Linked DNA regions of Caenorhabditis elegans. The protein of the gene in region 2 interacts with the protein of the main gene of each other region in a pairwise test. Each region holds a gene or a part of one and is shown on either strand. Other genes may lie near its edges.

Region 1 (3,887 bases), on a different chromosome or scaffold from region 2:
ATAATTTCATTGTTTTTTTGTTGCAAAATCATATTTTAAACCGATTAAATTGCGCTTAGTATGATGTGTGTTTAGAGCGATGATCAAAGCGGAACGTATGCCTCATCATCGGGAATCGCAAAAAAACCTGTCCTTTTGGATGAGAAAAGTCAATTTTGACGGCGAGAAAAGGCTTTTTGATATCTTTTTTAGATGATTTTTATAAGAGTCACTATCTTGATAGTAGTTTTAAAGTATATTTTAAATTATATTTTGGATTAAAAAATTATTTTAAAGCAGTCAAATAACAGCCCCCGAACTTTTCAAATTCCGAAAACGCAAAAATTTAACTACATAACAACGAAAAAACGAGAAATTTCAACAATTTACGCTTGTGAGAGTCTAAAATAAAGTAGTTTCAAAAAATTGGAAAAAAATGTTACAAAAATTCCAGTTCAGAAAAATAAGAAAAATCTATCGATCATTAGATTCTCTGAAAACTACGCTCAAATTTTCTGATTTTTTTTGCCGTTTTGAATTGATGGAACATTTTTTTTTGAATTAGGTTAGGATGTGTTGATCAAGTTTTTTCAAAATACAAAAATTTCAAAATCGAACTCAGTTTGCACCTCCATAACTGAGTCACACAAACTTCTATAGAAACATTTTGTTTTGAGAACCCCCGTTTTTGGTTTTTAAGCAAGTTTTTTTTGAATTGAAAATGCAAAATGTATCTTTCTGCAAAAAATAATTCTAAAATTCCTTTCCAAAAGCCAGTTTCTGATCAGGTTTTTTGGCATACATTGCTGGTATTGTTAATGCCAACAAACCGTGACTCATCCTATTTTCATTCAAAAAGGCTTCTTTTTCTTTCAATGTAGGTTTTTTCTTTAAGACATTTGAATTTATAAAATTTACATTCAGCTTAATATTTAAAAATAATAATAGGGTTAGTCATGCAATTTTGTGACATGTATCAAAATATATTTTATGGCGTCATTAAGTGTATTTCACTTGTCTTTAATTTCGTTTTGGTAGCTCAGTTTGTGAACTGGTAAAATAAAATATAATTTCTTCTTGATTGAATACACTCATAAATAACAAATTACGGCAATTGAAAGTTTCCAAAAAAATCAGTTCAGCTAAATTCTTGGCCTTATTTTTTTTTGACTACTTTGGAAAAAAACAATCTAAATCTGCGTAGTACATGTCTGAGTAGTACGATATGTATAAAGAATGGCAATAATTTAATTTTAAAAATTTCCACAAATATGTATGTTTTGCAAAACATTTTTGATCCGTAACTCCTTTTTTTAATTTCGAAAATGATTAACGGTTCCCATTAATTGAGAATAACGATTAACTAAACTAAACTATCTTTACAGCCAGCAAAAATGACTCATCTCAGAATACATTTTATAGTTTGAAACACATTGTTTTTTCATCTCTCTGGCTAAGTTCCTCCTTGTGATTTTTGTACACTAAAGTTGTCGACGAAGCTTCTCAAAGTCACGAGAAATGCTCCAGTAATTCTTTGCTCTTTTTCCTGAGCCTCAGGTATGAGCAATGTTTTGTATTGAAAGCTCTTGCTCATTATTTTAATTTGGAACGTATTCCTGAGTTATTTTTAGTGACAGAATACCTAGTTTTGAGTCGCTACTCAGAAAAAGTTATGTGATATTTGATATGTTTGTCGATAGTATTGAACAAGGGGGGTGAACAGGAAGTGAAGTGATGGGCCCACATATTTGCATATCAAACTACTATTTCCTGTTTCTCATAAGTTTGCACTTGCCTAGCCTAGCAAGACCTTCGTTTCTTATTTGGAAAATGTCCCACTTTGAAATTTTCTGAAATTTCCAGAAATGCCCAGAAATTTCTTACGCTCTTTCCTTGTGCCGCCAAGAGAAAATGTTAAATATGTTATGATCATGATGCCCACTCACTCAATTTTTCACCAAATAAAAAATGATAACGGCCCCCGTTTTCACATGACTCATCCTCTCAGCACTATATAATTTCAGTTTTTCTCCAGAATTGTAGACACTCTGGCAACACTGCTGCTTTTTCTCTTTTCGTTTTCATTAATAAAATATAAAGTTTAAAATTTTAAAATTTTCAGACTCTCCACAAAATGCGTCCAGTCGTCTTTACACTTTTGATCACACTTTTGCTCGCCAGTTCTGTGCAAGCCGATTGGTGGGACGGGTTCACTGATACGGTAGGTTAAGAAAAAGCTTTATGTCTGCTTGCCTATGTGCCTGCCCATCTTTTTTTTTTGTGTCTGGTCGTTCTAATACTTACTTCTAACTTCCCACTGATTTGGACAATTTCCAAAAGGCAAGGCAGGCATAGACAGGCAAGCCTACAAAAAGCCACGTGCCAAACTTTTGTAACTAAATGTTTAAGAATTTAAAAATTCGCTCAATTTTTACGTGGCCTTCGGATTTTTTTGGATTCTCTAACTTTTCAATCACGTATTTTTTTAACAAAAAAACAATTATTTTTGAATTTCTTTTTCAAAATCTGACCAAAATTCGAGATGGAGAAGCTCACCAACTTCTATAACAATCATAAAGACGCTTATATCAGTCAGGTAGATAATGTAATTTCAACATTAAAAATCTGCAACGATGTACCTGCCTACAGAGCTAAGCCTTTTTGCCCTCAGCCTATGCCTCTAAGTGCCTTAGCGTTTTGAGAATTATTTGCCAAAGCTTTTCTCAAAAACAAAAAATTACATCGCAAACTCTGAATTTCCGTTCTTGCAGGTCAGCGGAGGTCTGAACAATGCCGCCGGATGGTTCAAGGAGACGGCGTCTCCAGCAATCCGTGACAAGTTCAACGAGTACAAGGAGAAGCTTCAGGACCCGGAAACCCACAAGAACATCCGAGAATGGGTTGCAGAGAAGTACGAGGCCGCATCCGAATTCACAAAGGAGGAGATTGTTCCGGAGCTTAAGAAGGTGTACGAGGCGGCCACTGCTGATGTGACGACGAATGAGCCGAAAGAGGAGAAGGAAGTGACTTTAGATGATAATTGATTTAATTAATCAATTATTATTTATTTATTCACATATTTTTCTTATGCATTACTCAAAGCCCACGTTTATCATGTGCCTTATTCCAATGACGAATTGTAGTTGTATTTGTTCAAAAGCAAGCATAAAATGTTTTTTCTGTAATATTGAATTGTTTCAAAAAAGTTTCAAAATGTGGAAATTTGCGATATTTCAAATATGAACTGTGACAACTCCACAGAACCAAGTTGCATAATGAGATTTCTTTTAAAAAAGTTTGCACGGTTTTATTTTAAAGTTTTGAACATCCATAAAATATTGGTGAAAATTCAAGAGGCCTCGTTGTTAAATTTGGTTTGTGCGTCTACCAAGGGAAGTATTTCAACTTAATACAGGGCTTCTGACTGAAACTTATGGCATTTGAAAAAAGCCTTCTGGCTAGGCCTTCTACAAATAATTTAGCGACAGAGGAGCACTTTGGAAAACAGTCGCTCTGAAAATGTTTCAGTGCATTTTTTCACAATTTTCTAGACCCGTAAAGGCTCCAACTGTGAAATTTTCAGATTTTTGATAATTTTTAGGATGTTCAGAAATGGACATTCGGAATTTTTCTTGGAATTTTTTAAAATTTTTTTTTCGTAAGTTCTAATAGTAAAAGTTGAAAATTGGACATGTCCTTGCTCGAATTTTCGAATCATTCTTCAACAAAACACTTCAAAAATTGTTTATCCCTGTCTCAAATCAGTTGCAAAAGTGAGTTTAAATTTTCTAAACTTTCAAGCGTATATAAAAAATTTCAGTTCCTCCCCGATACACCACCAATAAAACTGGAAAGATTAAATGGAAGGCGACCGATACGGATCAATAAAGCAACTAGGTAGGTATGTA
Region 2 (5,136 bases):
TTCATGAATTCCAAATATGAATGTTCCGTTTTGTTACTTCAAACTAAGTTTATACTGACAACTTCCTTTTTTTGGAAATGATTCATTTAGACTTGATATAATTAATTACCTGCCATTAGGTTTCTATCTTCTTTTCTATTGGCAGAATTATCTATCTTCTCTCGATCTTTTTTTTTATTTTGTTTTTTGTTTCATTTTCATTTTTTTTTCTCAAAATTTCATTTCACAACTTTCTCAAGTTACTCGATCAACTTCTTTCTTCTTTTCCAAAACTTTTTTCTGACAAAAAACTCTGAAACCCAACCCTCTCCCCCAATCCACGTCATCAAAACTCTCTGACCTACCTGTCAATGTGATTTACGATTAACAACAGATGCCCCTCTTACATCTGAACAGCCGACACAGCACGTGCTTTAAATGTTCTAGCTGTCTGCGTATCTAATATAAACTGGCATTTTTGTATGTTATAGATTGACAATTGACTGTAACTGGGGGAATGGAAACAGTTGGAAGTTTTCAAAATAGAGGTTATGGAAATAAAAACAATTTTGTTTGTTTGCTTACGTCACTCACCACACTCTTTCCATGAACATATGAGTTGATATCAATTGATAACATGGAAAAACGAGACAAATTGCATATTGCTATATTTATTTTCGCTTTTTCAGATGTCAGACTTTCTAAATTTTCAATATTGTTACTACTAGTACTGCTTCTTTTTTTGTGAGCTTATATCTTGGCTCATTTTTTTAAAAAGAGAAACGTCAGTAGGAGAATTGTTCAAAATATCTTCTATAGTGCAATTACCACTAAAAATTGCAAGATTTATTTACAATCAAGATGTGCCAATTTTAAATTTTCGCGGCTCATAAATTTGAAAGTCATTTTTTAAATCAACCAGAAAATGGTTTTTTATAACGGGTTTCAACATAAACGATTGTTTTGGATTATGTGAATTTGAAAAAAAATTTAATAAATTTGTAATGTTAAAAATATATTGTTGTTTTGGCAGTTTCAGAATTTTAATTGAATTTAAATTTGAATGTCAGAAAAAATTCAAAAATAAGTCAGTTATTGGAACTTTTTTTCAAAAAATATTTCCTTTGCCAATAAGCACTATAAAATCAGCAGTGAATTCGAAAAAAATTAAGTGGCTGTTAAATAAGTCAATATGCGTTTGAACAAATGACGTAGAAATTTGAGATCGACTTTTTCTTATTCACATTCGTGCTTCTCTGCGTGTTTTCCAAAACACGGTCGCTCTGTTTTGATTTCAACATAATATTTAAACAGGTGAACAGACCGCCATGCAAGATTTATCGGTCAATAAAAGGAAGCTGAAAAAACTAATTTCGAAACCTTCGAGAACAGAAAAAAAAACTGTTTCTCTTTCATGGGCAGGCATTTCATGAGATTTTTAAGTGCTTTCCTTTAAATAATTTTGAAGCCACCATGATTTTGAGCTTATCACTGACACCCCCATCTTTCCCCTATTGTCATTTGAAACGTATGACTTGGATCTCTGTTTGAGCTGAAAAAGAGATGAATGAGATGAAAGAGAAGAAGACAGAGGGCAACAACAAAAAGAAAAACAAAATAGCACAAAAGAGCGAGATGATCGAAAACCCCGAGAGAAAGCAAAAATGCTCATCACCTGCGGTGAGACGGCAGCTGTCCCCGCAGAAATATCATGTACCTGTGCGGAGACGCAGGGTATACAATCACATGGTGAACTCCTCGGGGTCCCTTCATCTCGTGTCAGCACATTTTTGTGAGCTCCAAAAAATTTTGTCACGAAAAACACCACTTCATGGATGCTGAAAACGAAATGAACGCTGAAAATGTCGATGTGGAACTTTTCTTTCGAAAACCACCGGAGATCACAAATTTTGAGTTGGTTAAGACAATTTGGATTGACCCGAAAGGTGAGTGTTTTTTCATATTTTTTTTAAATTTAGTTTGTAAAAATGCAGTTTGAAAAAAAAAAATTGAAAAAGCTTGATTTCTAATAGATTGTATCTCTTGCTAGTTTTTTTTGTGAATTTTGAAAATTTTGAAGTTCATAAGAAAAAGCATTATATAACTTTTTTAACTTAAAATTTCTGAAAAAAAACTTTAATAAATGTTCCACGTATCCAAGTAGGCACATATCCGATATCTACCTCTGAAATTTTTGTTTTTGATTTTTTCAGTTTATTTCTAGACATCCCGCAAAAATGATTCAAAAAATAGTTTTTAGGCATTAAAAAAGATAAAAAAAAATTTAAAAAGATAAAAAGGTAAAAAAGTCGACAAAATTATGTGGAAATTGTTTGGATTCCGATATATTTCGGAAAAAAATCTGAAAATCAAATTCGAAAACCCATATTAAAATATCGGAAAAGAGCTTTTGGAGCATTTATAGGTCTCAAAAATAAAGCAAAAAAACACTGAAATAATTAAAAATCAAAATTTAAAAGGTCGAGATTAATGCTTTGTCAAGGTCTTTCACTTAGAAAAAATAATATTCTTAAATTTCCTTGGAAAATCTTTTTGTCATTTCAGAGGAGACAAATTCCACAAACGAGCCAACATCTGAGCATGAGCCAAAATCCCTCCAGCCACTTGCTCTTCAACCCCTTCAAACTCCTGAGTCAGAGTCCGGTGGGTCCTCTTGTTCTCATTCGGAAGTTGAACAACTTCCTGACGATATTCTCAATGAACCTCTTGATGATGAAGTTTTTGAAGAAGAAGAAGAAAATGTGCAAACTGATTTACTGTTCCGTCAGCCAAAGAATTCAGAAATGGAATTAGCTTACACCATTTCAAAAAGTGCCGAAATCAACCTGGATGAATTGGAATTTGAGGATGAGGAAGTCGAAGTGGATCTTTTGTTCCGTGAGCCAACTGATCGTCGATTTGAATTGGTTTATACAATTCCAATGATGGAAGATGTGAGTATTGATTCTCAGGAAACCATTACTTTTGAGGACATTCCACCATCTGAAGAACTAGATAACGTTGTGGAAGAAGTTACAGATGTTGCTGAACTTACTGAATTTACATTTAAACCAGTTGAAAAAGATGAACAGACTGAAACTGAGTCATTCACTACAGTCCTAGAAGCGAATGCTGGAGAAGGTGCAAGAGACTTTATCGAAAGAGTTAAGTTGACTTCCAATGACACTTTGGATGATTTGGATGATGATCCTGAGGAAGAAACTTTCCAAAATTCGTTTGTAAAATCTGTGGACTCTAAGACGCCAACTCCAACAGGAGACAATTATGAAATTGAGGATTCCTCTGTATCTGATGTTCTCAAAGATGCAGCCGAAAAATTGCAAATAATTCGAAATTATTCTGCGGACTTGGAATCCGAAAAAGATACAATTAATACGGATGTTCAGCATGTCTTCATTGGTCTTGAGGATGAAGGTGGTGTTATACCAATAATCCAAGAAACACAAGAATATGTTGCAGAAATTGGACCTACTCAAGATAATCAAGAGTATGATTCTACTTCTAAAAGTGATTTGGAACCTCAAAGCTCTGCTGATGGGGTTGTGGAAACTTCGACTTTCGAAGCCCCAGCAGTCTTCGGATTGGAAGATTCTGAAGATATTATAAATAAGCATGCACTGGAAACAGCATCAAATCAAGAATTCTCGAAAATTAAAGAGCCTGAAGTGACTGAAGTTTCTGAAAATACCGCAGAAAATTTGAACGAAGAAGTTGGAGAATCTAAGAATCCGGAAGCAATCGATCTTGTAGAATCTGGAGAGAACGCAGGCATCGAGCAAAATGCAGGAGCTGAACAATCTCAAAAAGAAGCGGTTGAGGAAACTTCAAGTTTTAAAGCCCCAGCAGTCATTGGGTTGGAAGAATCTCGAGATATTTTGAAAGATCCTTTACTTGAAACTGCACCAGATCAAGAAAACTTCAATAATAAAGAATCTGAAATGACTGAAATTGCTGAAATTACAACCCCAATTAGACTTGAATCGTCTGGAGACAACTTCATTGGTACCGATCCAGAAAAGGGCACAGAACAAATTAAAGGTTCTGAGAGCTCCGAATTAGTAACCCAAGAAGTCATTGGGTTGGAAGAATCTGGAGATATTTTGAAAGAACCAGCATTGGAAACTGTAACAAACCAAGAACTTTCTGAAAATAAAGTTTCTGAAGTGACCGAAATTGCTGAAAATATAACCCCAATCGGACTTGAATGTTCGGGAGACAATTTTATTGGTACGGATCCAGAACAGCAGCCAGAGCCCATCAAAGGGATTGAAAGTTCAGAATTGGATGTCATTGGGTTGGAGGATTCTGGAGATGAAGTGAAACAATCACAGTTGAAATCTTCAGAAGATCAAGAATTTTCTGAACTTAAAGAACACGATGCATCTGGAAATGTTGATGAAACTGGTGAGAGCGCAGATATCAAACAGGATGATGTAACGGAAATTGTTCAAAGAGAAACGATTGGGCTTGAGGATTCTGGTCTTGCAGAGATTGTCGCTGCTCATGAGAAAAATTTGACATCTTCTGATATTGACAGTTCTGTGATTCCGGAAGATGCGGAAAATGCATCTCCAGAGGCGATTGGCCTTGAATCTTCTGGAGACAACTTTATCGGTACGGATCTAGAACATGAAGAAGGTCAGATTGACAATTGTGAGAGTTATGTATTGGAAACAGCAGCTGTCATCGGTTTGGAGGATTCTGGAGAGAACTTGAAAGATTCTGTACAGGAAGATCCACCGGAGAAAGAATTCTCTGAAAATAAAGAATCTGAAGTTACTGGGGATGTTGAAAATACAACTGCAATCGGACTTGAATCTTCAGGAGAACACTTCATCGGTCTGGAACAAGGACAGCAAGCAGCTTCCATTGAAGCAAATGAGAATTCTGAAATGGAAGCTCCAGCAGTTATCGGTTTGGAAGATTCTGGAGATAATTTGAATAGGCCTGCATTGGAAACTGCATCAGATCAGGAAAGTTCTGAAAATAAAGAACCTGATGCATCTGAAAATGTTGAAGAAACTGAGCCAGTTTCATCTGCAAAGGTAATTGCGCTGGAATCATCTGGTGATTGTGAAGAAGGAAATATCAAAATATCTGCTAATGAAAATAGCGTGGAACCTGATGGGGCTGACA

Evidence for each region.
Region 1: the proteins of ret-1 (region 2) and K02B7.3 interact in a two-hybrid assay, tested with the Caenorhabditis elegans proteins (one large-scale study listed by BioGRID).

The regions. Positions count from the first base shown.
Region 1 is NC_003280.10:14,693,512-14,697,398, reverse strand, and holds K02B7.3 (DUF148 domain-containing protein), read left to right. Parts: upstream 1-2,097; 5' UTR 2,098-2,113; coding exon 2,114-2,200; intron 2,201-2,482; exon of another isoform or gene 2,483-2,521; coding exon of another isoform or gene 2,522-2,575; intron 2,576-2,750; coding exon 2,751-3,023; 3' UTR 3,024-3,207; downstream 3,208-3,887.
Region 2 is NC_003283.11:14,844,005-14,849,140, reverse strand, and holds the start of ret-1 (Reticulon-like protein), read left to right. Parts: upstream 1-1,828; coding exon 1,829-1,925; intron 1,926-2,544; coding exon 2,545-5,136.